Linked DNA regions of Arabidopsis thaliana. The protein of the gene in region 2 interacts with the protein of the main gene of each other region in a pairwise test. Each region holds a gene or a part of one and is shown on either strand. Other genes may lie near its edges. The genes, in order: TH7, CRK2, AT2G43420 and ROP10.

The links.
Region 1: the proteins of CRK2 (region 2) and TH7 interact in a protein complementation assay, tested with the Arabidopsis thaliana proteins (one large-scale study listed by BioGRID).
Region 3: the proteins of CRK2 (region 2) and AT2G43420 interact in a protein complementation assay, tested with the Arabidopsis thaliana proteins (one large-scale study listed by BioGRID).
Region 4: the proteins of CRK2 (region 2) and ROP10 interact in a protein complementation assay, tested with the Arabidopsis thaliana proteins (one large-scale study listed by BioGRID).

The regions. Positions count from the first base shown.
Region 1 is NC_003070.9:21,950,893-21,957,189, forward strand, and holds TH7 (thioredoxin H-type 7), read right to left. Parts: upstream 2,589-6,297; 5' UTR 2,501-2,588; coding exon 2,366-2,500; intron 2,203-2,365; coding exon 2,080-2,202; intron 1,999-2,079; coding exon 1,867-1,998; 3' UTR 1,705-1,866; downstream 1-1,704. Other genes in the region: AT1G59725 (DNAJ heat shock family protein), read left to right, coding at 1-399, 877-1,318. UniProt on the Arabidopsis thaliana protein: Probable thiol-disulfide oxidoreductase that may be involved in the redox regulation of a number of cytosolic enzymes.
Region 2 is NC_003070.9:26,582,227-26,590,607, forward strand, and holds CRK2 (cysteine-rich RLK (RECEPTOR-like protein kinase) 2), read right to left. Parts: upstream 5,403-8,381; 5' UTR 5,109-5,402; coding exon 4,340-5,108; intron 4,266-4,339; coding exon 4,152-4,265; intron 4,071-4,151; coding exon 3,931-4,070; intron 3,844-3,930; coding exon 3,633-3,843; intron 3,539-3,632; coding exon 3,304-3,538; intron 3,222-3,303; coding exon 3,071-3,221; intron 2,992-3,070; coding exon 2,662-2,991; 3' UTR 2,503-2,661; downstream 1-2,502. Other genes in the region: CRK3 (cysteine-rich RLK (RECEPTOR-like protein kinase) 3), read right to left, coding at 6,524-6,856, 6,942-7,086, 7,176-7,410, 7,504-7,714, 7,809-7,948, 8,092-8,205, 8,286-8,381.
Region 3 is NC_003071.7:18,029,162-18,038,280, forward strand, and holds AT2G43420 (3-beta hydroxysteroid dehydrogenase/isomerase family protein), read right to left. Parts: upstream 6,022-9,119; 5' UTR 5,776-6,021; coding exon 5,529-5,775; intron 5,379-5,528; coding exon 5,289-5,378; intron 5,212-5,288; coding exon 5,078-5,211; intron 4,992-5,077; coding exon 4,821-4,991; intron 4,679-4,820; coding exon 4,562-4,678; intron 4,467-4,561; coding exon 4,387-4,466; intron 3,982-4,386; coding exon 3,789-3,981; intron 3,701-3,788; coding exon 3,598-3,700; intron 3,230-3,597; coding exon 3,055-3,229; intron 2,900-3,054; coding exon 2,743-2,899; intron 2,663-2,742; coding exon 2,596-2,662; intron 2,484-2,595; coding exon 2,332-2,483; 3' UTR 2,107-2,331; downstream 1-2,106. Other genes in the region: FPA (RNA binding protein), read right to left, coding at 1-187, 1,559-1,828; GLX2-1 (glyoxalase 2-1), read right to left, coding at 6,408-6,554, 6,641-6,739, 6,812-6,886, 7,205-7,305, 7,550-7,673, 7,977-8,180, 8,278-8,460, 8,841-8,903.
Region 4 is NC_003074.8:17,727,910-17,735,512, reverse strand, and holds ROP10 (RHO-related protein from plants 10), read right to left. Parts: upstream 4,177-7,603; 5' UTR 3,953-4,176; coding exon 3,848-3,952; intron 3,523-3,847; coding exon 3,435-3,522; intron 3,237-3,434; coding exon 3,127-3,236; intron 3,034-3,126; coding exon 2,970-3,033; intron 2,875-2,969; coding exon 2,810-2,874; intron 2,709-2,809; coding exon 2,643-2,708; coding exon of another isoform or gene 2,601-2,642; exon of another isoform or gene 2,542-2,600; coding exon 2,438-2,541; intron 2,297-2,437; coding exon 2,272-2,296; 3' UTR 2,000-2,271; downstream 1-1,999. Other genes in the region: protein SUO, read left to right, coding at 1-1,243; AT3G48030 (hypoxia-responsive family protein / zinc finger (C3HC4-type RING finger) family protein), read left to right, coding at 7,559-7,603. UniProt on the Arabidopsis thaliana protein: Acts as a negative regulator of abscisic acid (ABA) responses.

The DNA.
Region 1 (6,297 bases), 4.6 Mb from region 2:
CGAAGCTTACGATGTTTTAAGCGATCCTAACAAACGTCAGATCTATGATCAATATGGTGAAGACGGACTTACGGCGACAGAAGCAACGGCGTCGTCTCAACAACATAATTACTCTTCTGGTAACAACAATAATTACAATGCAGGGTTTAGGTATTATCCACGTGATGCTGAAGATATTTTCGCTGAGTTTTTCGGTGCATCTGAGAAAGTCTTTGATGGTGGCGTCGGCGGTGGCGGGAGGTTTAAAAGTGCGGAGGCGGGAAGTCAGACGAATAGGAAAACTCCGGTGAACAGGAAAGCTCCGGCGATTGAGAGTAAATTGGCTTGTACTCTTGAGGAGTTGTATAAAGGTGGGAGGAGGAAGATGAAGATTTCCCGCGTTGTTCCTGATGGTCTTGGGTTAGTATTTCATAACACATGATCTAAATGAAATCGCCTTTTTTCATTCAGTTTCGTTCGTTATATTAGTAGTTCGTGATTACGTAAATTATATTTGGAAAAGTGTTGACCAATTATTTTGTGGTTTCTTGTATGAGTCAATGGATAATCCTCTGTATATATGCTCTGTTTTTGTGATTTATCTTGATGGTAAAATTTTGTAATCAAGACGAAACAATTATCCAAATTGTTGTGTTTTTGACATTTTTCTTTGATAAGTTTTCTTTATTTTTCTCTGTTTAATGTTGTTGTTATTATTGGTTTTTTTTTTTGTTTTTTTGACAATTTTCCTTTGTTTAATTGCGTTTTTATCTCTAGTGATGTTGATATTGTTTGATGATTGATGTACCTAATTATTTTCTTGTTGCTACGTTTGATTTTTCTAAGCCTAGTTGCTTTTTTGGTTGTGATCAATATATATTCATGTTTTGATATCAGAAAGTCAAAGCCAGTGGAAGAGATCTTGAAGATAGATATAACACCAGGATGGAAGAAAGGAACTAAGATAACTTTTCCAGAGAAAGGAAACCAAGAACCCGGTGTTACTCCCGCAGATCTCATCTTTGTTATAGATGAGAAACCGCATTCGGTTTACAAAAGAGACGGTAACGATCTTATTGTAGACAAGAAAGTTTCGCTTTTGGAGGCTTTAACAGGGATCACTCTTAGCTTAACAACACTAGACGGGAGGAATCTGACTATCCCGGTTTTGGATATCGTTAAACCGGGTCAGGAGATAGTGATTCCTAGTGAAGGAATGCCCATCTCTAAAGAAGGTTCAAAGAGAGGAGATCTAAGAATCAACTTTGAGATATGTTTCCCCTCGAGGCTAACATCGGAACAGAAGACAGATCTCAAGAGAGTTCTTGGTGGTAGCTGAATTGGCAACTAGTTTCAAGAAAGCTCTTGAATTCAAAAGGTCAATTCAGTGTACATACATATACAGAATTGATCGGTTTTCGTTTTTGATCTCATATCTTGATCACGAAATAGTAAGCAGAATTGATTGTTTTTTGTTGTAAAAGCTATCTTTGTTGTTATCTAATTTATTCTGCTTTCATAAGTTATATATGTAACTCTCAACTTCATACAAGCTCTTCGAAAATGTTATGTAACGTTTGTTTTTTTCCATTTAGTATTTTAACATATACTTGGAATGGGACTCTTTTTTTTTTTTTTTTATGGTATAGTTCTTTTAGTCGCCATACTCACATTACCATTGTTATGTTGTTTTGCTTACGTTGGGGTGATTAGATTTCATACAAATATAACTACAACATTTTTGTTAATTGTTTTCATTTTTGACATTATTATTTATATTGTTTTGAGAAATTAAACAACAAACCAGAAACCCAACTTCAAACAATCAATTCAGAACAGACATTCAAAAGTATAATAATCATTTTTTTGTAAGGGAAAAGAAAAAACTTAAACCCTATGTTGTTCAATCTTCTTCACGAGCTCATCAGGTTTGGCTCCAACAACCCTATCAATCTCTTCTCCTCTCTTCACAAAAACAAAAGCTGGAAGTGTAATAGCTCTATATGTCCCAGCCACATCCTGGAATACATACCAATTATAGCTTAGTCTTGAAACCATAAGATGATTCTTCTTCAAGTAATAAAAAAAAAGAGTAATTACCATTAGCCTATCCACATCAACCCTAGCAAACACAGCTTCTGAGTACTTTGAAGCAATCTCCCTAACTCTAGGTTCCATTGCTTTACAAGGTCCACACCATACAGCTGTGAAATCAATTACTAGCTTCAAAACCACAATAATTTTTTCAGTTAGTTTAAGAGAAAAAACATGTCATTTACTTGTAAACAAAATTAGAAAACACAAATAGTATAAGATTTAAAACAAACATTATAAGTTTGGTTAAAAAAATTTAATACGTTTTAGGTAGTTTTCGAGTAATGTATACCAATTTGTTTGAGCCTTTCATGGAATCAAAGAGAGATTTCCATTGTCTTCTTGATTCGATTTCCACAACAAATCCATTACTGGTAATTTCCATTGATGAATGAACATCATGCACAGATGAAACATTGGAACCCATTATCTTCGGAATGTGTATGTATGAAGAAATGGTGTTCACTTATTTGCTAGTGATATACTGATATGCAAAGAAGAGAGACAAGGAGGAGCATTATATAGCTTTTAATCGGAGAACTTAATTTGTTGGTTATAAATAAATAAGTAAATGCAAAGGAATATGATTCAATTTGCTATCCTTCTTTAGTTCTAGCCGTTGATTTTTTTATTTTTTCAAGAATATATAGCTTATACCAATTTAGTTTCGCTTTGTGTTTTTAAAATTCCAGTTAGTTGTTAAATATTCTCCACTACATAAAAATATAGCTGGTTGCAAGGAACTAGCTTGCCTATCACATTTGCAAACGAATTTTTTATTTTTGTGGGTGGATAACAATCCGCGGCGGATCGATTTTCTAATTAAAAAATGGTAGCCTAGGTACTTGATTTATTAGTTTAGATTAATTAGTTATTGTCAACGCTATAAATTAAAAGTAGTTAAAATTTGTTTTGTTTAAATAATATATGCACCATCCACTTCAAGGATCTAATACCTATATAATATTAATGCTATTAATTACTATAAAAATAAAAATGTCACATGGCAGGAGAGTTTCTAATGAGAACTCATTTTTATTTTTTTCCTAATTGATGGTGATACTCTTATGTCTTTACTGAAATCTTTAATTTACATTTACATAAAACTTTACAGAACGAAATTAGATTAGAATAAAACGAGAAAAAAATTTGCAAAATGACCATGCATGTCATTGTAAATTTGTAATGTTGTTTGGTGTGTCCGTGTGTAAGAATATTGATTTGTGTTAAAAAGAAGCTGTCATCAAATTCTTCCTCAAGGTCCTTCTTATTCCATTTCAGTACTTATAGGAATCATTGTCGAAAATGAGTTTGAAATTAACAATTTATTCGATACTGGGGGACAAGAAATGCACGTCGTAGCCACGAACATCATCTTTAACTTTTTGCCCATAAACTTTCACATCATCCTCTTATAATTCTCATTCTCAAGGAACTAGGAATGCTGATTCAAAAATACAGTTCGGTGATGCTCGAATATCTTAAATTTTAGAACATATTGTTGGGGTTTAAGATCTCGATTTGCAAATATTAATTTGAAACCATTTTTTGGTCTGATTTCTAATAAAATTGAAACACCACTGTTTTATAAGAACTAAAAAAAACTTGTAGAAATGTTGCATCAAAGTATGCTTTATAAAACATTAAATATATATATGTTGGGATCAAAATATGCATATATATATATTATATATATATATATATGAAGGCGTTATCAAAGAAATACAACAAGTTTTTTAGAAAACTGAAAACATTAAGGAATACTTCTTAAATTTGTAAGTACCCTTCCTAAGACTTTCTTTCCCTTACTTTTACTGTATTTGGAATTTTGGAATTGTGTAGTTTAAGACTTAAAAGAATTCTCAAATATTTATTGTACTGGTAATTCATAAAGTAAACTAATCACGTTTAGATATTTAAACATGTGTAGAAAATCGTTTTTAATTTAGATTTTGCCTTTGAATTTATTCATTTTTTAATCATAATTTATCGATAATATTACACATGACTTTCTTAAAGGTTGCATGAGTTCTGCTACCCACATATTTCTTTATTCCTAGCTCGATCTATAAAGATTCTAATATAAGTTTTTCCACAATCTAAAGAATTTTATTCCATGAAATCGTATCCATACAATTTTATATTGTTGATTTTCTCTCTTTTTAATTTATGTAGGAAGAGTAACACAATTAGTTCAATACCTCTGTATTTACTTTTCTGCTACTAAGCAATATATTACAGTTACTTATAAAATAGTTCTGTATAATAGTTCAATAAAGTTAGTTATATTTTTGCAAACAGAAAGTGTGAAAAAGATACAAGAGCAGAAGAAACGATTCTTAAATACAAGTGCAAGTGCTTTTTCCTTGAAATATACGGTGATTTGAATCACAAACCTTCTTAGCTAAATGACCATCTTATGATAAAAACAAGATGTGGCCGCCACGAGAAGTCTAAGCAAGGAAGTAGGTGCATATGATGAACTAGGTACGCCGACGAACATAGAAAAAAATGAGGTACAGATTAAAATCCATTTGTGGAGTATACACAAAATGTTTGTTTGAAAAACAAATTATGAAGAGTTTCAAGATTGTTTTCAAGGAACTATCAATAATTTATGTTTGACTCTATATGTAGACTGATATGCAAAAGATCAAGTGTGGATGAATGAAATTGGATTGGATGACATTATTTTGAGGCCAGGGGATAAAGATTATAGAAGTAGCAATATTAAATGTGGTAGATTTAAAACAACGACAATAGCATGAACTAAGTTTTGCTGCTGGTCACTGTCATTTATCGCTGGCCAAAATTAGACGCATCCTAATAATTAGCCCACCTTATGTTGAAAACCTAATTAGGCTAAATACACTAGAGCATACTTCGCTAACACATCGAAAAACACTGAAAACAAACAGGACGTAGGATCAAGTTGCTAACTCACGTATCTCATCATAGTAACAAAAGAATTAATAACTGCACAGCGAGAGATAAATTTAACCCTAATCTAAAATAATGAAGAAGAACATTGTGGATTTTAAGGTACAACATATTTCGTCTGTTCAATCTTTCACACCACTTAGCTCTCTCGTATTTGGATTATATTGTCCAAGTTTGGCCCTAGCCCATACTTTACTAAAGCCCCATTAAATAACTTCAACAATGTTCAACCCAATCTCACAATCACAAATGCCACTTTTTGGTTACATTCTCCTTTTCTATGTTTTTCCAAAGGTTAAATTCCTTTCTTATGGCTTATGTTGGCTTATGACGTATCCAACATTTCACTATCAAGTTTGGGTTTAAACAAAACAACTGGTGTGGTGTAGATTGAACATTCGCTTTCTCATGGATTCTAAAACGTATAAAAAGAATAAAACCTTAGGTCCACAACTACAACTTATGAGGTAGAAAAAAACAAAACTTATGAGGTAAAATATATATATAACTTCAGAAAATATGAGGTATATATCGATTTATTGCGCACGTAATTTATATATACTATATTTACCCATGCATAAGTATTCACGTATCTCTATAGTCACTGTATACGTGTATGCTTACGTAAGAATACGTACATGACATATTCATGGAATTTTTCGATGCATACGTATATTTATTTTTGATAACTTTGGATGTTTCGTATTAATTTGGTATCGCTTAACATTCTCTTTTTTATTAAACAATTAGTTTTTCAGTCTATTGACTTGATGCCTTGATGGCAATTCAAAAATTTGATAAATCTTTTGACTGCTAGCTCAATTAATTTCTCTTTTTTTTTTTGTTAATATTTTTTTTATAAATCAAGTGGTATTCCAAGCATGAAAAAGGTTTCATGAAGGGTCCAATCACAATAAAATAGTTCATATCATCTTGGTACGAAATTAGGGGGTAGAATATGTATTACATTATATCTAAAATTCTGTTTATTTTTCTAATAATTAGGAGGTTTTGGCATACGTCCATGCATTTCCTCAGACTCAGAACCAAAACATGTTATATGGTCTCGTCCTAAAAACTACTCGAATGAGTAACTTCAAGATTTTGCCATAAATTGTTACCAGTTGAACTATTGAATCTTGATAATTTAATTATCTTTGTTTACTTTGTAGTTTGTGCACATGCATGGTTCATTATTTTTCAACTCGAAATCCCAAAAATATAGCGTCCACTATAATATGTCCACCTCTCGTTCTTGCTGTTAAAATTTTCCACTTGCGTTGA
Region 2 (8,381 bases):
TAAATGGGGCATCATCGCGAATGAATGGAACCCGTTAGCCAAAACGGTCAAGGGCGTAACGAGACATTGTATTGGAAATAGTGGCAATATTATGTCACTAATCTTCCAATCATCCAAATTGATAGATTTCTTATTTGTATTGAACCTTACTTAGATAGCTGATGTGTCAACTAAATAATTTATTTTCATTATCCATTCGGGTAGAAGAATTCATTATCCATTCGAATTTTGTGACTATTTGGCTCGGTTTCGGAGCCGGATTTTTCGGATCGGTTTTTGGATTTCGGATTTTATGCCCAGCCCTACTTATACTACTTGTATCAATGTCTCTAATTGATCAATTGTTGCTTGCTATTCAAATATCTGTCTTGGCAGTTCTCAAGATCGTACAGTAAGGATGTGGGAAGTTACTGGGGGTGGTAAAGATAAATGTTTGAAGCTTGGGTGGGTTGAAGAAATTGCACCTAGGGCTGGAATTATTGAGTACTTCTTTTTTGTTACCAAGTATGATACATAAGATAACTTACCTATACTATCTAGCTTCTCTCAGTGGTTTATAACAAGATTTTAGTTTGTGCTCAACGATTTGTATTTTGTTTTTCTTATACACTTATTCAAGCCTCATCTACCACTTAAACTAATTTTTAAAAAGTATTAGTAAAATTAACATGGTTTTAACTAAAAATTATTAATTATTTATCTTAAGGTTTAAGTTTTGAATTGGTTTTAAATTTTTAGTGAAAATCATTATTATTTTTTAAAAATGAGTTGAAGTGTCAAATCTATATTACGTGAAAACATTACCGAACTTCGAACACTTCAAGACTTACAGACCAATTAAGGACGGGATGCCTAGGCGCGGTTAGTTCCCGACGTTTTTAAAATTTAACACTTAAACTAATTTTAAAAAAATAATAGTGAAATACATGGTTTTAGTTAAAAGTTAAGAATTATTTATCTTAAAGTTTAAGTTTTAAATTGTTTCTAAATTTTTAGTGAAAACTATTATTATTTAATTATAATTTTACTAAAAAATATTTTTTAGAGAAAAGAAAAAAAAATAATAATTGAAGAAAAATAATACCTTGTTGGATTTTGTAGCAAAGAAAGCCCAATGAAAAAAGCCCATTCGAAGACCACCGTGAACTCGTCTGAAAAGCCCTTAGTTGCTGCTGCGTCTTTGTTGCAACTCCTCCGAAATTCTCCGTCTTCTTCATTCGTTTTTGACTCTTCTCTATACTTGTCGTCTCCTATCATCGCAATTCATCTTCCCCCGTTTGGTGTGTTAAACCGGAGAAATTTGGAGTTTCGCCGGAATCTTCCTCTGTCTATTGTATAATTTCCTCTGTCTTTGATCAAAAGTTGATCGTACTTGGATTCCCGATCTCTTCCTTCTAGATTAGGTCCTGGAATCGTCTTCTTAGGTGCTCCTCGCTTTCACTGCCCCCGATCTCTTCCTTCTCAATTAGGTCAAGAAAGAGAGGACGTGAGAGAATCAATTACGATTCTGAGATGATGAACTCGAGGATTACATGGATCATCATCAAGCGAACAGGTATGAAAAGATGGGAACGATGAATGATTTTGGTTTCTCGAAGAAGAAGGACGTGAGAATAGAGCGTATTTTGATTTCTCATGAATGAAGAAGAAGAGAATGCGTGATCTAAGTGTGTGTATTTATAAGGATGGTTTTTTTTTGGTTTATTGTTAATCTAACCGTTGGGGATTTGATATTGTAGAGGAAATCTAAATTAGATTCGATTTCCAGTTACGAATAATTATATCAATCTAACCAAAAAGGAAGTTACGTTTTGGTTGAAACTTTTTTTCGATATAACGTTTACAAAGAATCATCTTTTTCGCTCACAAAATATTATATATCAAAAGGTAAGAGAGAACATGAATGATGATCAATTTAAGAAGTTGAATAATTTCAACTCCATTGCTACTTTTATTCTAAATGGTTTCTTTGTATACAAAAATTTGTCTGTTCCTAACATATGTTGTGGTGGTTGCTACAGGTAGTCTTGGTTTGTGGAGCAGAAGCCAGTTTCTGAGGACTTGACAAATACAACACACGTTGACATCAACCTACCAATGCTGCTCTATTTGTCCAGAGAGAAGCCCGCCTGGTTCTGAGATCCCGTACAAGAAAGCAGGAGCACATAGTTTCTAAGTTCTGATCTATGTGTCCAGATAGAAGCAGCCTGGTTCTGAGATCACAACAAGAAAGCAGGAGCACAAACAACAACAAAGCTTGAGCTCGAGTACCTACCTTAAACTGCTGCATTGAACCACCAATCTTATATGTTTGCAAGTCTGGTGTGGATGAGGATAACATTTTTTTGAAGATGGCATATGTTGGGAAATTCTCAGACATTTCATTCTTTGTTTCTGTTGTCTTCTCTCTTGCAAACTCGCAAGTCCGTTTATAAGCTTGCAAACTATTAAAGATAAATGTTTGAAGCTATGGGTTGGTTGAAGAAATCGCACCTAGAGCTTGAATTATTGAGTACTTTTTTTTTGTTATCAAGTATGATACATAAGATATAACTTACCTATACTATCTAGCTTCTCTCACTGGTTTATACACAAAATTTTAGTTTCTGCTCAAAGATCAAAGATTTTGTATTCTCTTCTTCTTATACACTTCTTCAAAGCTCATCTACCATAAAAGGAACTTTGTGAGACAGTGGCAAGAGATGCACAACCAGCTGAATCACCATCAGAACCATCTCGAAGTTCCATGACTCTTTCATCCATAAACGGAGGATTACTCGGCAATGGCAAGACCTCCTCTTTGTTCTTTAGCATATGTAATAACTTAGACATCGGTGGTCTTAGCGAAGGGATCTCTTGAGTGCACAATAGCCCTATTTGAACAACTCTTGCTATCTCTTTCTTGATGATGTGACTGTCATACTGACTCTTCCAATCGAGGTTTGGATCATATATTTTCTCCAACTCTCCTGACTGAAAATGCTTCCATGCCTTCAATAAAAAACATAACACCACAATTAGTTTGAGAAGTGAAACCTGCAGACCCATAGACAAAATATGTCTAACTTACCTCTGTGATCAAACTGTCTGAGTAATCTGACATTTTGCTTTTGGTGTTCTGTTTTCCAGTTACAATCTCTAGTACAAGAACTCCAAAGCTGTAAACGTCTACCATCTCTGTTAGCTGACCATGTGCTAAGTACTCCGGAGCCATATAACCTCTGCAGTTTCACAAGTATTGGATCAGCTCAAACATTCATATCTTTTTGAAGAAATGGTACATTTTTCTGAATATATACTTACAAGGTCCCTGCAATGGCAGTGCTAATATGGCTCTTATCGTCCTGGAATGATCTCGCCAGACCAAAATCGGCGATTTTAGCTTGAAGCTTTGAATCTAGCAGAATATTACTTGCTTTTATGTCTCTGTGAATAATTTTCACAGACGACTGCTCATGCAGATACACCAATCCTTCAGCGGTTCCAACGATGATCGTGTATCTTCTCTGCCAGTCTAATGTTTTCCCTCTGTTCACGTCTGCAAAAGTAATAATGAAGACAGGTTTAGTGTGCTGCTGCATTCAAGATTCAACAATAAAAACTCATCATATAGTATTATTAGTAGTAGTTACCAAAGATGAATCGATCAAGGCTCTTGTTCTGAAGGTATTCATAGACAAGGAGACTCTCTGGTCCTGAGCAGCTGCAACCAAGCAGCCTAACAAGGTTCTTATGTTCAACAGTGCTGATCATGTTGACTTCATTGTAGAAATCGGTTGCTCTATGTCTGTTGTTAAAGAATAACCGCTTCACAGCGATATCTCTTCCGTCTGGAAGAACCCCCTAAACAAGCCAGAGAGATACCACTATATCACTCATTTGCTTTACAGGAAGGTATAGAAAGAGAGACATGATCATACACACACATACCTTATAGACAGTTCCAAATCCGCCTTGTCCAAGCTTGTTCGCGTTGTCAAAAGAACCTGTGGCTTTCTCTAGTGTTGAGTATTTGAAATTCAAGCTACTGTCTTTTAGTGTTTTCGCCATTTTCTCAACATCTTTTGATCCTGTTAAGCACCAAAGATCTCGGTTAAAAACACTCAATCCTTCTTAAACCAATTCATCACAAATCAAGAAACTAATCTTACCTCTTCTCTTCCTCTTTATGGTCCGACGTTTGCAGATATAAACACTTACTGCTACTCCAATCATGAAGACAACCACAGAGCTAAGTACTGACACCACAATCACTACCACAGAGCCTGCAAAAACAATTACTTATGACCATCAAGCGAATGAGATTCTATAGAAAGCATGAATCTTTTTATTGTGTTACCTCTTGATCTTCCGTTTCTTGGTATCTTATTCAAGAAATCTTGATCAGAGTACCGAAGGAAACATCCAGTGTGAAGCGCACGTCCTTCTGACCATGGCAAACATCCTTTAACCACAGAAGCAGAGGCATTCTCCAAACACTGTTTACAAGAATCAGGACTCAAAGTTCTCCAACAATTCGCCAACACAAACGCTGATTCAGATTCAGATTCACCCGCCTTTGCAGACGCACGAGCGTACCCTCCAGTCCCAGAAGCCTCAGTAACAGCATTTCTCAGCCCTTGTCTCACCGCATCACCAAAAGTCTTATTCTTTCTCGTCGTGTTTCCACATACGATGCTATCTTCAGGTCCTTTGTATTCATTATAGAAACTATAATTCTCAGCTCTCATAAAACATCCATCAAGAAAGATTCTACCTCCGTTCTGAGGATAACACTGCGGAAGCATCGTCCTTGCTTCCGCGTAACAGAGTACACAATCGTTTAAAGGAAGATCACCATAGCACTGCGCAAGACCATAGTTAGCGTCTGGTCCTGTACCGGTGAGAGCAACTCCAAAACCGGAAGTTTGTACTTGTGTGCTGATTTTCTCCATTGTGGCTACGAAATTTGGGACATAAGCGGTTTCGTTGTGCTCAAGCAAAGGTGAGCAAGTGACTTTAACGGCTCTAGCCCTTGCGTCTCCGGTGATTTGACGGAGTGATGAAAGAAGAAACATCAAGAGACATGGAAGGTACAGAGGAAGGATATGGACAGGTTCTTTCTTCATTTTGTTTTGTTTGATTGAGAAAGAGATCTCCTTTTTTTATTCCCTCATCAAGGGTTTTGTGTTCTGTTTCAAGTTGTGAAGAAAGAAGAAGCAGAGAGATTAAGAATTGGAGATGATGAAATTGAAGAATTTTCAACTGCTTGACTTTGATGATATTGGTTTGTTAGAGTCAACCAAATTTGCTGTCTTTCTCTCTCTCTCTCTACTGGTTTAGTCAAAAAGTTAATAAAAAAAATTGATAATGGAGATTGTTGGATTTCTTCTTAGTCTTGAATTCACACTTGGAAACCAAACCAGCTCGATCATGTTGTTGAAGTCGTTGTCTTCATTCAAATATTTGTCGTTTTCATAAACCTAAAAACCAGTGGACTAATAATTAATAGAGCTTATCTTATGTGGAGCCGGTTCGGTTTAATTGGATAAATCTCTTTACCGGTATCATGAAAAATTCAATTTTCTGATTAGTTAAAGAAAAAAGAAAACGTCACATATGCGTAGTGTTTAGTAAGATGACATTCAAGAAAATGGATAAAGTGACGTTAGACTACTTTAAATAAAGAAATAGGTTTGTTGGGTTGATTTTTTTTTTGTCAATTTGTTGGGTTGATTTAGTAGGCCTAGTTGGTATAGTACAATAAAAGTTGTACAAATAATAAAAATATATATAACAAAATACCATTTACATGTTGCCATGGTCAAAGTTTTATTCAAGATCAATTGCAAAGAAAAATGAGAAGTAGTTGGACATTCAATTCTAAAAATGTTAAATCTAGTTGGCTATAATAAAGACATATGTAGTATATGTGTTTCTATCTAGTAGTCTCCTATGGCTTCCTTGAAAGAAAACAAAAACACTGATAAAAAGTCCTTGATTCGAATCCACTTGTGCAAAAATTAGGAGATCATGATCCAAACTTTGCGGTAATAAATTTAGTGAATTTTTAGTGATTTGATTTTTTTCTTGTGTACATTTAATATGTTTCATATTTTGATTCTTAGGTAAATATCCTTATGGCATTATTTGGTTTTACTCGAATTTCTTTGCATTTGTGGTTGCATTTTTCTATTTAAATATGACATTTACTCTTTCTCTTTTTGTAAAGTTAAAACGAGAACAAACACAAAAACCGCTTACTAATATACAAAGCTACTCAAAATTAACACACAAAATAAAACTACTGAACCGTAAACCGAATCACTACAATCAAAACCGAGGCTAAACCGGAATCTGTCCCCGTCATGTAAGCTCTACATTGTTCACTTCCTAGCTTCTATGACATTGTCGTGGCACATAAGTAACCCTCAGTTCCTAGCTAACACACGATTAATTGGCATCTCAATTTTTGTACATATGACACAAGATGATTCAGAATCCACACGAAAGGATACTGATATATCTAACACGATCTAAAACCTCATCTAGGTTCAAAGAAACTCGAACCCTCGGTTATGTAGTCACTCCTTGATCCTGAAGAATTAGACTGATTCGTCGTGGGAGTCATCATCATCTTTCTCATCTCTACTACACTTCCTGGATTCAGAAACGGTGGTTGCGTCGGCGTATGAATCTCCAAACTCCCTTTCATCATTTTCACAACCACAGACATCGCAGGCCGCTGATCAAACGCTGCTTGAACACAGAGAAGCCCAATTTGAAGTAGCCGTGACGCTTCTATCTTGTTGAAGTTATCACCTAAGATTGGATCCACTGCCTCTTCCACATTGCTTGTTCTGTACAGACTCCATACCTAAAATATGTTTTCAAGATTCAAGAAAAAGGATTTGATCTAAAATCAAGAAAATGTTTGAACTACTTGTAGAGAGTTAGTTTACCGATTGTAGGATCGAACCAGCGTCTTGTACGAAGGCATTGTTACGTTTTCCGGTTATAACTTCAATCATAAGAACTCCAAAACTATAAACGTCTGCTTTCTCAGTTAGTTTTCCTCGTACTACATATTCTGGTGCCATGTAGCCTCTGTTTCCACAAGTAAGAATCTTCAGAAACAACACAAGAAACGGTAGAGAGAGATATTAAAGTTACAAAGATAAGTTTTGAGACTTTACAGTGTACCGGCGATGGCAGTGCTGATATGAGTCTTGTCCTCTGGGAACAATCTAGCCAATCCAAAATCAGCAATTCTTGGAGTAAAATCATCTTCCAAAAGGATATTACTCAGCTTAATATCTCTATGTATGATTCTAAGATTTGACTCCTCGTGAAGATACGCCATTCCTTCTGCTGTACCAAGTATAATCTTGAATCTCTTTGCCCAATTCAACGGTTGAACATCTTTTCTTACTGAACCAAAACAAAGCAACAAGAACAAGTCAATAAAAGATCCATCAAGACATGGTAACTGTAGTAAAAGGTTTAGGATTGACAAAAACAAACCGAAAAGATAGTCGTGGAGGCTTTGATTTGCAATGTATTCATAGACCAGAAGGCTCTCTGGTCCAGTTATGCTGCATCCCAAGAGCTTAACAAGGTTCTTGTGGTCTACTTGGCTTATTAGATTAACTTCGTTGAAGAAATGATCCACCCATTGCTTTGTGTTGAAGAACAGTCTCTTTACTGCAACAGTCTTACCATTAGTAAGAACTCCCTACTCCACAAAAAGGGCAAAGAGTTAACCAATTGAGAAGTAGGAACATTCCAACATGAAACTCTAGAAAATGTATAATAAGAACAGAACTTACCTTATAGACAGAGCCAGATCCTCCTTGTCCTAACTTATTTTTGTCGCTGAAGTAATCGGTAGCCCTCTCGAGATTCTCATAGGAGAAACAGAGATTAGATTTGTTCGCAAGCATGAATAATGACCCTAGTTGCTTCTTCTCTACATTACATTACACACACACACACACAAATATCTGTTAAGATCAAGACTTCACTATTATAACCACTCAAACTCTATGACTAATCTTGAAAACTAAGCTATTTCTGGAACATAAATCTTAACTAATTCTTTATGGAACAAACCTCTTTGCTTCTTGGCGTGTCTCTTTTTAAGCAAGAAACCAGCGGCAGAGACCAACAGAACAAAAGCCACAACCGAAGATGTCACCGCCAAAATCACACCCAAATGGTTATGACCTGATCAACAAGAATGTTGCTAAATAAATGTTACAAACATATACTAAATTTAAATCATATTTCAAGCTTATTCTACTTACCACCATTACCATCTGATGTAGAATTTCCAGAATTGTTATAAAACTTTTGAGTAGAAAACCTCATATAGCAACCAGCACTAAGAACTCGACCTTCTT
Region 3 (9,119 bases), on a different chromosome or scaffold from region 2:
GCTTTCCATTCATGCTCTTAGCCTGTAAAGCATCATCCATCTCATAATAATCAATGAAAGCTGTCTTGCGTTCTCTGAGAAACCTAAAATCCTCGATTTTCCCAAACTTGCTGAACTCTTCCTCCAGGTCATCCTTGGAGACATTAGGGCCGATTCCACCCACCCATAGACTCTTACAAGGTTTTGCCTGCAACAAGAAAAGGTCGATAAGAAGGCGATACTACCCAGATAGGTTGCCAAGAATAAAGCATCAAACATCAAGGAAACTAAACACACAAACTAACTAGTAATTTCAACTACACTACGACACCAATTCATATCAATTGCTTTCCTAAACAAATAAAATTGCCGCAAGGAGAAACCATCTCCTCTTTCTCTATTAAATCAGTGTTAATAGTTTCTCTTGCCTAAACATCAGATTTTGTCTGTAGGAGAAGTATGTAGTCCCCAAAGCCGGAAAGACATTAATACTTTCTGCAAAACATTCCTGTCTTTATCCATTGCCTGAGTCCCAAATAAACCAATCCCTGAACACTCCATTTAAGTACTCAAAGCCGGCAAGACATTGAAATTTGAGTCTGCCTGCAAATGAATATTTGTCTTGTCCACTGCAACTGTACCAATCCCAGAATGGTTGTGAAGAAGTCAACTTCCTAAGGAACTACAATGGGAAAGCCCAGATTGTACGTAGGGATGGGAATTGAGGAACAAACATGGTTCTTCGAATAAAGCGTTTCTGATTGGTAGAGTTAGCCGCCTTAACAACCACGTAATTTGTCTTCCTGAAGCATCGAGCCAAAACAAGCCCAAAACTCCCTCACACTGATATGGATATGTGCCAGCGATACTAGGAGTTAGGACGATACGGTTGCCAGAATTTTCTGTTTCGCAGATGCAGTTATTGATATCTACGTACCGCCATAGACAAATTTCTCCACGCGGTTTGATTTTTGCAGGAAACTGAACTTTTAAACTCCAAAATTTCTTATCTGTTTGGCCGATGATAGAGTTTGCTCGCTTCCAAATTTTCACCATTGCGAATTTCGAGTGGAGTACGCAATACATTCATACTCAAGCTTGTGAGATTTAACATCTGAAGCGAACCTGAAATCAGACTGCTAAACGCGGATACAAGTTTGCAGATAAACGACAATCGGATTAAACCTTCTTCGCATAAACGAGAGTAAACATGTGTTTGATGTATTCTTTTGCAGAGCTCATTCGCTAAGAGTTATATATGCTTTAACATCAAATTTTGCAGAGCTTCTCTGTGGTTTGGCTTTGCGCGAGTTCGATATAACCAAAGTAATTTGAGAAAAGACGTTTCGATCGGATCAGGTTTCGCCTTAAGCTAACGACGTATAATAGAAAAAAACTAGGTTTCGACTTTGATTTGTACGATGAGGAAAAAAAAAACAGATTCAACAAGAAATTTTTGGACTAAACAAGCATCATCAAAGTTTTGTGAACCTGGACTATGAATTCGCAAAAAGAGTATAATCGTTGACAAAAGACAATCAAAGTTAGAGAACAAACGAAGATATAGATAAGAACAAACCGGTCGTGCGTATTCGATCTTAATTTGACTTCCATTCAAATTTGCTCCTTGAAGAGCCTCTTTGGCTGCGACTGCTTCCTCCACATGTCTGTAGTATATAAACGCAAAGCCTCGTGAAGAATACACCGTGATTCTATCAATATCGCCGTATCTTCCAAACAACTCGGTCAGATCTGACTCTGTCGTCTCCGGCGTTAGGCTACCGACCCAAAGATTGTTTGACTGGAAACCGGAATCATCGGCTCTGAATGGCTTCATAGATAACGCCATCGGGATTGTTTCAATTGACGATCCTATGGATCCAAAATTCCAATCCCAGAATTGATTGTTTTACCTTTGGGATTATGAGATTTCGATTATCCACGTGACGGAAAACGAGAGACGAATTGTGCGATGATACGTTGAGCAAGAAAAATTCGATGAGAGATTTGGGTGTTCAAAATCCTACCTACAGAGAGGAGAAGAGAACCCTAGATTGAGTTTGAAGACGAAGAAGATTAGATTGTGAGAGAAAGAGAGGCCAGGGAATATCGAAGCGGCGGCTTTTAAAGGATATATAAGGATACTTTCCTTTTTTTTCTTTTTTTTTTGGAAACCGGATCAAAACGGTGCATTTTGATAGTAGTTATGGCAAATTCGTAAATAATCATATATCCATCCCCTCTCAGTGAAGATTACATCCTGATAGCATAATGTTTGTACATAAGACATCTAATAACTGCAATTAGTCTCTGGGATTGTTGGTGTTCGTTTAGTGGAGGACTTTGGAAGCTTCACATGAACATTGGTTTAGATGAAGCATCAGAAACAGGTATCACCATCCTTTTAATAAATGTTAAGCATTCGACGAATATCCGGGCTAGGTGGTAGAGCTCAAGCTCGTATTGCTCGTAGATGAAGAAACCGGTGAATGAGAACGACATAACTGTCCAAGCAAAGCGTAGAGAAAATGTTATGGATAAAGAAGTTGTTAATCATGTTTATGAAGTTGTTAATCATGTTTATGAAGTGTGAAAACAAAAGCTTTGTTCGAGTACCTGTGAAAAGAAATGCTGCCAATGAACGGGATACAATCAGTTTGAGGAGATACAGTGATCCTGCAATCTGTTTTTATGTTTTGTTTTAGGAAACGAGAGCAATGAGATATTTTTCATGTTTGGTGAGCATAAAGAGTAGAATTGTACCTTGAAGAACTTGATCCAGTCTCCTCCACTGCTTAAGGATTTAAAACTGCGAACTCCTTGATTCCAGACAACTACGATATCACTACTAAGATCTCTCACAGCGGATTCGGAGATCTCAAATCTCCATGGGGGTATTTTGTTGACTTGAAACCCGAAACTGTCAAAATAAATCAATCTGTCACTTAGTTGCATATAGATTTCAAAGGTGAAATATATATACATGGGTGCATCATCCTTTGATAGGACAATTTTGGTATCACAACTTATTTTCACTGCCTTCTATAATGGTAAAGTTCTGGAACCAATACTTACATCTTTGACGGCACAAAAGAGACTCCATAGAGAGCAACAGCAAATATAAACAGAAGTTGGGCTGCAGATGAAGTAAATGTGTTTCCAGAAAAGAAGAACCAGTAATAAAACAAGTTTAGGACAAGAAAAGAAACGAAGGTTTTCTTCTCATTTCTCCACAGCAAGATGTCTGCAACTGCATGAGAACATAGAGATGAAAAGCTAAGTCAGTTTAAAGAGATTAATATTAAAAGCTTGCATTGACCAGATTCGCTTTGAGTTTGTTTATATGTGCATGAAATAAAGTTGGAACTCGCATGAAATTACATGGACTGGAAGAAGATGTAAATTAACCAAGCAGATACTTCAGCATGTTCTAGACATCTAGAAGCAAACAAATCTAAGTTGAAAATAGAGATAGATTCTTTCCAGGTTAAGCCTTGTGAACATGCATCATCATATCCATAGCTAGATGAGATGCGGACTTCAAGCAATACAACTGAATACTTAGCCAAGAACACTTCAAAAAGGCATTATAATTGTTAATAGCGAGATGGTTCTAACCTTTCCCACAACCAAGAAGCTGATCTGCAGTAGATTGAATGATTGTGTCATCAGACTTCTCAAGATCCCGAGAGAACCATTGAAGCGTTGATGCAATACCATCCTACAAATCCAACAAGAGCTAATAAATCCAAGGAAGGTACTAAGCAGCTGAATATGCAAAAAGCCAAAATACTATCCAACAAACTCACTTCAAGTGTCACAACAGGTGTGTAACCAAGATGCTTCTTAGCTGCATTGCAGTTAAAAGTTCTCGTTGATGAAGCTAACAGAGCATACTGATGTGCTGTGTCATAATTACTCCCAAGGCCCTCCTTTTCATGTGTCCACTTAAGAAGTGAGAAAACATACAAAACCAGCCGAACAGGAAGTTTAATGGATGGTCTGCAATTAAAGAGGAAAAAAAAATATCAAAACAGGTAAACCAGAAAGTTAGCTCTAAGGATCTAAAACTTTTCAAAATGATCAATATTTAAGACATAGGAGAAGGAAACATATACGACCATGTATAAAATACTAAATATCAGCGAATCACCATGTATAGATAGTTTATATCTAAAAAAACTAATTGAATATGGCTGTTCTCGAAACGGTTCTTCTAGACATGTCTCCAGGACATCTATCAACAGAAAATTAAGATCTTTTGCTTTAAGAAGGGAACATTCAAGGTAGGTTCAGAAGTTCTGAGGAGCCTTTTTCCCATGCTACATTGATAATCAGGAAACAGAAAGATAAAAGGAGTTCACAGCAAGTTTCATTGTATCAAAAACTGTTCGGATGCTTATTTACCTTGGGTATCCCAGACCTTCAACTATATGGCTTACAAAGTCCCAAAATCTGACCGGCTTGAGGTTTGTGATAAAAAATTCCTACATAAAGTCGGCACAGTAAAAATTCATCACATATAAAGTTCATGCGCTTTCAGGAGTGATTTGGCAAATACACTTTGACTCAAAGAGGTTACCTTTCCAGCCACAAACTCCATCTGTGAATCTAATGCTTTAACGGCGCAAATATGTGCATGAGAAACGTTCTCCGAGTAAGTGAAATCAGAGATATTTTCACCACTCCCGAGTATAAACTGAAATTTTAAAAACTAAGACAGTCATTCCTCCAAAAAAGGAAAACTAAGAATGCATCAAGCTCAAGGAATACTACCAGGTATAATAAGATAATAAACGTAGACGCAAAAACGCAACAATGGGATGAACTAATAGTAAGACCTTTGCATATCCGGACTTGGCTAGATTCACCAAAAAAGGTACAAACTCTGTGTCACCAGGTCCAAATACAATGCTAGAGCGAAGTGCACAAGTTAAGAGACCATCTCGGTTGTTAGCCAATTTGATCAACGCTTCTGCTTGAGCTTTGAAGTCTGTCAACATAGATTGGAACTGCAAGAGAATCAGAGCAAAACAGATATCATCTCTGAAAAAGACCAACGACAAAAACCAACTAAACAAACATGCTCAAGGATTACCTTCAAAGGACGTCTCAAGGATTCATCACCATCACGTATAGGTTGGGAACCATCAAAAACAACATCAGCTGTACTGTTGTAGATAAGTTTTCTGACTCCAGATTCACGACAGGCAGAAATCACATTTCTTGTACCTATACGAGAAATCGATTAACCACCCAAGTTTAACTAATATAATGGTAAACCATCTTGAAGTGACTAAGAACTTTACCTTGAACTATAACCTTGTAGCAGTCAAAGTAATCATGGGAACGTAAATCAGTAGCTCCCATGTAAAATACAACATAGGAACCCTCGGTAACTGCAAGGAACAAAACAGTCACACCAAAACTCAAATCAGAACCCGAAAATCTCAAATAGCCAAACACTCCCCCATAGCATTTTCTAGATACCAAAAACCGATCCATCAATGTCATATCTAACAAAGTGCAACAGGAAATAAGAGGAAAACCTTTAACGATCTGAGGTTTATCACGAACATCGACGCAGTGATAAGAAGCGCGGCCGGAGGAGAGAGCATCCTCGAGGAGCGAATCGGATTCATCAAGATGGAGAGTGTGACCGGAATCTGCGACTCGGACTGTCCAGTTTCCGAGACGAAGCAATCTGGAGACAAGCGATCGACCAATGAACCCTCGTCCGCCGAGGACGACACATGTCTTGAGGTGAGAATCGCCATGGACGGAATCTTCGTCCATTGTTATCGCCGAATTAAACCCCAGCTCTATCGCCTTTTCTCGGTCGAGTCAACTCAGAGAAAAAGGCCGAGTCGAGTTGGATCAGTGCACAAAAAGCTGAATACTAGGGGTTGCTTGGCGGGCAGACTCTCCACTCGCGCAACCTTTTAGCGTTTTCCTTTATTCTTCGGCTGTGTAATTATAATTTAATATTCACACTTTTTTGCCATAAATCTATGGATTTGACTTAATTTATGTAAATTATCTGTATAATTATTCCTTGGTTACAAACAAATCTAGTAAAGCTAATATTAAATCGTAGACGCACGGTTGCGTTTTCACGTTTGGTGAGCCAATTCCATCAATCCACCAAACATATGATTTCCATTGTTAGAAATTTGGTAAGCACTTGTAGAGAGAAACTAAACCGTATCTATCTATACACTTGTGTATGTATGTTGAAGCATTCATTACACTTGAAAATCTCATAATTTAATAATTGAGTTTAAACTAAATATTTAGATTTTTTTGTGTTGAATACACAACTTCAAATGATAACTGAAGAAAGCCCAAAACATATAAAATATTGATCTTTGCAGCTGATGATTGACTTGCAAATTTTTCTATACAAATAAGAAAATATACCCAAGTTTTCAGAAACGATCTCTGGCTCTCTGTATACGACGCAATGCTTCAGCTTCGGTTGCTGAGTCTGGAATGCTTAAAGATTTTCGGATATCTTTGCTCGATATTCTGAGGAATGGGTTACACGCTTTCTCAACCTTGACAGTCGTTGGAATCTACAGACAACAAATCCGTAAGTAAATGAAATCTAGAGAGAGGTTTAGAGAGAAAGAGGAGATAGGGAAGAGATAAGAGGTTTTACCGATGGGAGCCCCTGGCTGCGAAGATGGGCGACTCGAGTTGCATAGGACTGAAGAGTTTCATTCTTTGGTTCTACGGATAGAGCAAACTTGAGATTGCCCTGTATCATGGAGGAGATATAAAAGAGAGTTGAACAATGTGAATTAAGAGTATTTATGTGCGTGGAACTTACTGCTGTGTTTTCACGGCCGCAGTATATATTTGTATCGTCTGGTAGAGACACGATCTTTTGGAGTGATGAAAGCATCTGAGTCATAAGGCAAAAAAGGTTTTCTCGTTAAAAAGGACAGAGCACAATAAGTTTGCTTCTGTGAAAGAAACTACAATGTACGGTTATTAGAGTACTCCCAAGTCCCAAGTGATCTCTCCATAAAGTCTATACCATTTGACTCAGCACAGTTTGCCACAAGAAAGTAACCATAACAGTAAAAAGATATGAAGGTTGAAAAAGAAACATGATTTAGAAAACCACAAATCACTTGGCACAATTTTTGCCACAAGAAAATAATCATAACAGTGCAAGGGTCGAGAAGGTTGAAATATTGCTTTTTGAAATTGATGTTACCTGCTCAGGGGTACCTTCTGAAAGGGTACCACAGGATAAGCTATATATCAGGTCTCCTGTGAATATTGTCGCTGACCCGGGAAAGTAGAAGCTAATATGGCCTGCTTGAGAATAAGTACAGTTAAGTGATAAAACATGGCACCAAGTATACATTAATTACTAGTTGTACTACACTAGAACGATAAAAAAGGAGAGCAGTTACACAGTAATGTATTGAGGATAACAAATTAGAATGACAAATAAGATACTAATATGTGATCCACCAAAGGTTTCTAACGTTGGCAATATTTGACTGTATAGATGTGTTCTTAGTATTTTACAGTAGAGGTTATGGCAGCTACAAACCTTGTGTATGGCCAGGAGTGTCAAGTATCCGAACCTCATGGCCAGCAAACATCCACTTATCACTATCCTTCAGAAGTATGTCAATTCCAGGAATCCGATCTTTATCTACAGCTGATCCAATCACCTGTCGGCAACATAAGTCACATAAAAACACTTGAGTATATATAAAAGAAGCAAAAACGAAAAGAACAACTCGACAAAGGTGCAAAACAAAAAGGTCCAAAAAACCATTTTTTCTGGTAAGACTAATACTTTACGACATCTCAAAACCAAACCATTGTATTGTAGAGCTCAATGTTTCACAGCTATCAGAGGCAAGAGACACTCCAAGGAAACAAAATAAAAAGAGGGCTAACTTGCGCAAAGAGCAGAAACAACACAAGAAACAAGGTCATACAGTTTTAAACAGAAAATAGTATCCTCTTACCTTTGCGCCATACCTTTCTTTCAATTCAGCATTCCCCCCAATGTGATCATCATGATGATGAGTATTCAAAATGTAAGTTAAATTCCAATTCTTCCTGCTCAATGCTTCTATAACAGGTGCAGCCTCAGAAGGATCAACGACTCCAACTGTTCCGGTGTCTTCATCGTGCAACAGATAAGCATAGTTGTCCTTACTGCAGGGCACCTGAAACATCTCAGTAAAATAGATCGTTAATAATATCTTCAGCAGATTGTTACAGAGTTGTTTCAACCAGTAGATTCAAGATGAAAAGCATACTAACCAGTTCGATTTTTAATGAGGATGGCATGTTGGAAATGCTACAAAAGTGAGTAATCTTAAGAGTTTTTCTAGCTCCACGCAATGTTTTCAGTGGCATGGATAATAACCACATTACTCCGTATAATAAGCTTTTCCTGAGGCAAAGTTGTCTCAAACCAGGCCACACACAAAGCTGACCTCCAATCTGTTTCATGAAATTCAATCAACAAATCATAATCTGACACAAAATAGTACTATAAGATAGCCAAACAAAGACTACTAAACACAGTTGACAAAAAAAAAAAACCCATAGAAGCTTATAATAGATAATTCAACCGCCAGTTTCACCAAACCAGTCAATAGCAGATAGTAATTGAGCCTTATGATCGAATCAGTAACACTAGCACACATTCAAAGGAATCCACAGAAACAATTTTCCAGCACACAAACGAAGATCGGTATAGTGAAAATCTGAATAAACTCAAAAAAGGCTAAATCTGGTACCAACCACAAAACCAGATCGGAATTATCAAAAGCAAAGACTGAATCAAAGAGAAGAGTAAAAAAGAGGAAGAGAGATTAAACCCTAGAACACGAAGGAATCGATGAATTGGTGGTGGTAGATGAAGCTTTGGAGATCACAGGCATCCTCTATATATCTCTTCTCTCTGATTCTTCAGATAGAAACGAGAGGATATGATTGTGGTACCTTTGAAGAGGCCTCCTTTGAGAGATATTGCGCGTAGATAGAAGAAACTCAGAATTACTCGCCTGAGCTGTGATGACGAGTCTGCGACTTCGACAGGAAACAACGTCAGAGCTAAAGAGACAGCTTTTACTCTTTTTTTTTCTTTAGTATTTTGT
Region 4 (7,603 bases), on a different chromosome or scaffold from region 2:
GTTGAGAAATAAAGGGGCTGTTGGTTGGAGAGGATCTGCTGCCACTAGTGCCTTCCGCCCAGCTGAGCCAAGAAAACCTCAGGATGTGTTACTGAGCATTAACAACACCTCTACATCTGATGCATCTACTTCTGCTGGCAAACAGACAAGGACGTTTCTGGATTTTGACTTGAATGTACCTGACGAGAGAGTCCTTGAAGATTTGGCTTCCCAAAGATCTGGAAATCCCACAAATTGTACATCTGATATCACCAATAGTTTTGACCAAGTACGTTCTGGGGTCATGGGTTCCGCCCTTGATCATTCTTCTGGAGGCCTTGATCTTGATCTAAACAAAGTTGATGATTCAACTGATATGATCAGCTACACAATGAACAGTAGTCATCGGCTAGATTCATCTTTTCAGCAGGTTAAATTACCATCGACTGGTGGTCGTAGAGATTTTGATTTAAATGATGGACCTGTGGGTGATGATGCAGCTGTTGAGCCATCTATGGTTCTAAATCAACATTCACGAAGTGGCTTGCCATCACAACCATCTCTCTCTGGAATTCGAGTGAATGGCGAAAACATGGCTAGTTTCTCAACTTGGTTTCCTGCTGCTAACGCTTATTCAGCTGTGAGCATGCCTCCAATTATGCCTGAGAGAGGTGATCAGCCTTTTCCAATGATTGCCACTCGTGGCCCACAGAGAATGTTGGGTCCAACAACTGGTGTTTCCTCATTTACCCCTGAAGGGTACAGGGGTCCTGTTTTGTCGTCGTCTCCAGCCATGCCATTTCAGTCCACAACGTTCCAGTATCCTGTCTTTCCTTTTGGAAACAGCTTCCCCGTTACCTCAGCGAATTTCCCTGGTGCTTCTACAGCACACATGGATTCTTCTTCAAGCGGGAGAGCTTGCTTCCCCGGTGTCAACTCTCAAATATTGGGTCCTGGAGTTCCAGTTCCGTCTAATTACCCAAGACCTTATATAGTTGGCCTCCCAAACGGTGGTAGCAATGGCGGTGTTTTGGACAATGGCGCGAAATGGTTTAGGTCAGGACTTGACTTAAATTCTGGTCCTGGAGGTCATGAAACAGAGGGAAGAGACGAATCAACACTTGTGGCAAGGCAATTATCCTCATCTGCTTCCTTACCTTTGAAGGAGGATCAAGCAAGAATGTATCAAATGTCAGGTGGTGTTCTGAAGAGGAAAGAACCGGAAGGAGGATGGGATGGATATAGGCAGTCCTCATGGCAATAACAGTAGCTCAGAATCTCAGTAGGCCACATGAGCTTGTAAGCCCTCGAAATCCACAAACCTTAGTGTTTTATGACCTCTCTTTTTGTTTTTCTCTCTCTTACTAATGTTTCAGTTACATTTTTACTCTGCTAGTTACTAAGAGATGAGAGTGAATGTGATGCCACAAGGCTTCATTGGCTGGCCTGCTCTGTACAAATGAGGCATGGGTGAGTCAATTTGCGACTTCACAGTGGTCTCAACCTTTTTAAGAACACAAACCTGACCTCTTGGTTTCACCATCATGTAGATCTTCCAAAAACAGTCCTAAATTCACCGGAGTGGCCATTCTCTTTCAGAAGAGTCATCAACAAGGTTCTCAGCGAGAGACCCGCATCACCACCTCCCCACAAAGAGTTTTAAAAGGTGAAAACACACTTTTAGGTCATTTTTCATGCATGTGTGTATCTCTATACACCGGCTCAAAAAACTAGCGATAAAACAAATGTTGGTGGCTTTTGAGTGTGTTCAAAATGATAAAAAAAAAAGTCTTTCGCATTGTGGCTTTACATGTGTGCGTTAGGTGATGGGGGTTGTATTATAGACACAAGATTAGTTACTTCTTTTTATCTTTCTTTTTCCAGTTTGTAGATTTATTACTTCTTGTGCTGGTTCTGTTTGAAATTTACAGGCTTCTTCTTACTTGTCACGCTTTTGTCGTTTGGTCTTGGATCTCATAATAGGACCAAATAAATTCGAATATGTGATTAAGGATTCACCTTTTTTCGAAAGAAGCAAGTGTTAACCACGTTAAGTCGTGAACTACTCCAAGTTTTGGCTACAAAATGGCTATAACAATTCTATAAGGGTCAAACCAAATCGAAACAAACAAACATCAGGGTCACATATACAAACAGAATCGAAGAAGCTACTAATTGAGGCTCATCTCTGCCAGAGTCTATGTAATTCCGACTTATCAGAATCACAAACTGGCCAATTAGAAAAGAAAAGAAAAAAAAAGAAGTGAACAATCATCAGATGGAATTGACTCATCAATTCTTCCCACACAGAATGTTTCTGCACAATAGAGAAGCCAATCTATAATCATTACACAAACAAACAAAACTGTATGAAGAAGCTAAAGGTTGCATAACCAAATTCTAGTATTACATAATTTCTTAGTTATATATTAAAAAGAGTGAAGATTATTGAACTTACGAGAGACATCCGCTGCGAGGCTTCTGCTTCTTCTTCTTCTCCTTTTGTTTCACTGCTGGTTTAATTACTACTTTAATAGCAGCATCAAATACGGCTTTCACATTCTGCAAAAGCCATGAACCAAAGAAAAGCATATAGTTTGCAAGTAAAGAGTCACCTAACACTAATGACTCCTAAGTTTCCAAACACACATGAACAAGTGTACCTGTTGAGTTTTTGAGCTACATTCAATGTAATAAGTCGCTCCGATATGCTTGCGGAGTTCCTCTCCCTGTAACACATGAATGATTAAATCATATAAAACCTAGAGAAGAGAGAGTCTAGAGAATGTCACAACAATCTTTTCGGTTTCTACAGGTTGAAAAAGCACACCTGTGATGTAGTTACCGGGGACAGTCCAGGATGATCAGACAAGTAATGTCTATCTTCACGAAGATCTAGATAACGGAACATTGTAAGAAACATTACATATATGTGATTCTCAAGCATTACACAAGGAAATATGTTGGCTCCACTCTTATAGCTATCTTACCCATTTTGGTACCAACAAGCACAATGGGGACTCCTGGTGCAAAGTGTTGGAGTTCAGGGATCCACTGAACAAAATAAACGCTTCAAAAACATCAGAAATTCACATTTCATTCTTTGTTTTCCCAGTAAGAAATACAATGAATCCAATTTCCACAAACCTTTTTAAACACATTCTCATAGCTAGCTCGGCTGATCAATGAGAAAGCCAACACAAAAACATCTGCTCCTCTGTAACTTAAAGGCCTTAGTCTGTTATAGTCTTCTTGCCCTGCAAACATGAAAGGGTACTCATAATCATAAAACTCTTAACAGTCACTAATCTTCAACACTCCCTATAAAGTTCTCTATCTAAGAATCCCAAATCAAAAGCAAACTTGCTAGATGTTAGAAAGATTAGAACCACATAACATTAGTGAACTTGGTTATTCTGAGATATTCAAGAGAGGGATACAGAAATGTTACTTACCGGCAGTGTCCCAAAGGCCTAAGTTCACAGTGATGCCTTCAACCACAACATTAACACTAAAGTTGTCAAAAACTGTTGGTATGTAGTCCTGATACAATCCATCAAGCAAATCTTTAACTTCACGAGAACAACAAATGCGCAATAGAGTAAGAGGAAACACTGGTGAATCAAGAAAGCCACTAACTTTACAATGTAAGATTTTTCAGAATCTCCAAAAAAGGATTATTTTTGCACAATCCCTAAAAAAGGAGCTAACTTTGAAATACCATGCTAAAATTCTCGGTGAAAGAGTTGAAATTTGACAGACCCAGAAGTATATTCAACTAAAAGTGACGAAATTGGAGATGCCCGAAAGAACAATTTGATGAAAAATCAGCGAAACTGTGATTTACTTGATCAAATTTTAAACTTACAGTAGGGAATTTGTTGCTAGTGTAGCAGATGAGCATACAAGTTTTTCCAACGGCACCATCTCCAACAGTCACACATTTGATGAATTTTGAAGCACTCGAAGCCATTCTAACTCACCAAAAGCAAACAACTTTCAACGAAGAAACGCCCAAAAACCAGAGAGATTGTGAGAGAGATAATAGAGAGATAAATGAAGTGATTAACATGAGGAAGTGTGGTAATAAACTATATAAACCCCATATGATTAAAAAAACTAAACTCTCTTTTTTTTCACTTTTCTTTCAATATTTTCAAAGTTTCAATTTTGTATTTTTGTCTCTTTCGTTTTTTGGTTTGAAGACTGAAGAGAGGGAAAGAAGAGGGGCTCACATGATATATCCATCTAATCCACATGACTTTTCTAAATCGTTTCATATTTATCGCTTTTACAAATGTATTAGATTTTAACCCGTGGTATACCGCGAGACGATTAATTTTTTAAAGGTAATATATATTAAAACTTGCAAATTTTATTTTTATAAAATATTTATATTTTACGGTTTATAATTGTTATTAAGTAACGCTATGCCACGAATCTATAAGACAATTGTTAAAAAACTGAAGTTTTAACCCTTATTAAAACAGCATATTAATAATATTTTATAATTTTATAAATATTGATTCAAATACATCCACCATATAACCGAATTCCAAAATAAAACTCGTTCTGTAATTTCTTTACCCGTCCCGTGAGTTTTTTTTTAAGTCGTAATTTTTAAAATTTAAGAATTATTTATTATATATAAAAGTTTTGCAAATTGTATCATTCTCTAATACATTTATATTTTATAGTTTAATTTTATATATAGTAACATTATACATATCACATAACATTTTTGGTTTTATATAATATTTTCTAAATTAGGATAATTTGATATGTTTAATATTAGTGGTCTTAAAAAATAATAAATTAAAGATTTTACCCGTATTGAAACGGTGGATTAATTATATTTTACTTTTTTATTAATGTTGATTCAAAAACCCGTCCTTCTAAATCCGTCTTGCCAAAAAGCCATTTATTTTATTCATATTAATTTTATTTATGATATGACTCTGAATTCTAAACATTTTAGCTAATAACATAGGAGTGCACCATATTTATTTAATAGGGGAATGTACCATATGACCCGAATGCACTTTTATCCAAATCCACCAAAAAAATCTTGCAAAAATACTATAGAGATAAGAAACGATAGTCGGTTTTAATAGGTATAAGATTAGCAAATATATTAGTTAGCTTAAATTAGTTAAAGAATACAAATTAAAAAGGTATATTACACTTTATTCGAATATAATATCAAAACTTATATAACACAGAGATTTGATAAATTTTTAATTGTTGAATACTTTTTTTTTGTACAAATTTTTATGTGATTAAGATTTATTGATTTCGTATATAAAATATTAAATTGTTTTACGAACTTATTTGTTTATAATTTGGTAACAGAAAGATATTTGAATATTCGGTATATTTTGCTTTAGTTTAGAAAATCTTTGATGACCCGTCTTTAGATTCAACAAGCCCTATAATTAAGAAATGAATATTGTCGTTAAATGATTTTGGTAACCTTAATGATGTCATTAAAAGATTTTGTTTTTGATTAAATTTTTCTAATGGTATTGTCATGTAATTAATTACAAAAATTAAGGTTACATTTAAAATGTATTTCCCAAATAATATAGTAGGATTAAAAGGATACTAAAAGCTAATCACATGCTTAAGAAGCATTGATTATAGTACGTTATTTCTTTTTCTTTATCGGTTGATCCTTCTTATTTTGTTTAGCATTAAAAACTGTTATATTTTGCCATCATTTTTTTTGTAAGATTCTGGCATTACTCATTACCAATTAATTGTATAGATTATTTCAATAAAACAAATTTTACCTGGTTCTAGCTAGGAGAAATGAACATAACTTGGTTAAACACATATGTAGTTATAGAAGAGAGAAAGATATATATATATATAGGAATTAGGATTAACTCTGAATTGGGGACTTTTAAGTTTTGGAAAATAGCAACCAAACTTTTCCTTCTTTTTTTCTGTAACATCTGCTATCAAACTTATTCATCAATCTTAGTAAAGTATAATTTTGTTATTTCAAAACAAAAGTATCCAAGCTAAATTGGGTTTTCATATCTGATTTGTGGGTTTGATAAAATTGGTTACACACTATCGTGCTGCCAAAAAAAACAATAGACCCAAAAGGCCCATGTCTTTGGCCTTGTATGGCTGTATCATCAGAGACAAGGCAAATGATCCATCAAATTGAGATAATAAACTAGTGCATATATAGTAATCTACGTGATGATTTGTTAATAGACAAGACGAGTTTGTTATTTGTTAATTAATGATAGATAGCAGATTTTAATGGAATACTCTTTATGAAGATCACATGAAAATAAGCTAATAACCGAAATTGTAATATCTTTCAATGAAAAAACAGGTGCGAATGTGCGATCATTCCTAATCATCTTATTTGCATGATGTTACTTTAATTTATGGTAAGTTGATCACACACATTTCAATGCATTTGTGATGAACTTAATAATTAACCAACCGAAAGCAAGAAGCTATATATATATCGCTTCTCTTGCCTATTTAGATCTCCAAGCCTCCACTTTCTTACACTTTCAACTTCCATTAAAAGCAATCAAAGCAAAAAAAAATGAAGATTCTTGTCTTGATTTTGTTTTCACTTAGCACCCTTCAAAATGTTTGTGGATTCGATTATAACGAAACAGAACTAGAGAGTGAGGAGAGTTTATTAAAGCTATACAACAGGTGGACGAGCCACCATCACGTTCCTATGAAGTTCGAAACAAAAGAAAATAGATTCTAAGTTTTATTAGGTCATTTTTCATGTTATTTCGGAAGACTTAGAATCTATTTTCTTTTGGCTTGAGTTTCATAGAAACGTGATGGTGGCTCGCCCACCTGTTATATAACTTTAATAAACTCTCCTCACTCTCTAGTTCTGTTTCGTTATAATCGAATCCACATATATTTTGGAGGATGCTGCTAAGTGAAAACAGAATCAAGGCAAGAATCTTCATTTTTTTTATCCTTACACAGCTATCAAATGAGAATGCGACCCTTCAAAGGCACAAGGCGTGAGGGTAACCATCGATCAATTCGCATTTGTAGATCCATTCAACGAGGCAGCCCTTCTCAAGGCTGTTGCAAGCCAACCTGTAACAGTTAGAATTGATGCTCATCATCCAGATTTTAAATTTTATTCAGGGGTAATCGAAAAATGTATGCATTAATAAATTCGCAGAGACAAACCCCCAGAGAATGGTTGGCAAAAAGCATAAAGCTATAAATGAAAATTTTCAGTATAAAACAAAAAAAAGTTTCAGTAAGACAAAGCAAAAATTAAACGAGAAATACGTTAACCAAAAAGGCCCAAAACGGATTTGATGCTGTTTCTGACGTGAACGTTAGAAGTGAACCCAGTGGACTGTATCCAAATGTTATTTTTTCCAATTCCAACACTGGAATCTGACCCGATTCACAGAACCATCGACCCGACTCGTTTTACAGAACCGGCTCGTCGTCACACGGTCTCTGGTGACGAACAGGCCACGCGTGACTACATACATAATTTGGTTTCTCTTTTTTTTTTGTTCTTCTTGTTCCTCTTTGGTTTTTGACATTGGTTCTGGAGAAGATGAGTTCGGTAGAACCAGACATGGAAGATCTGTTCCAGGAGAAG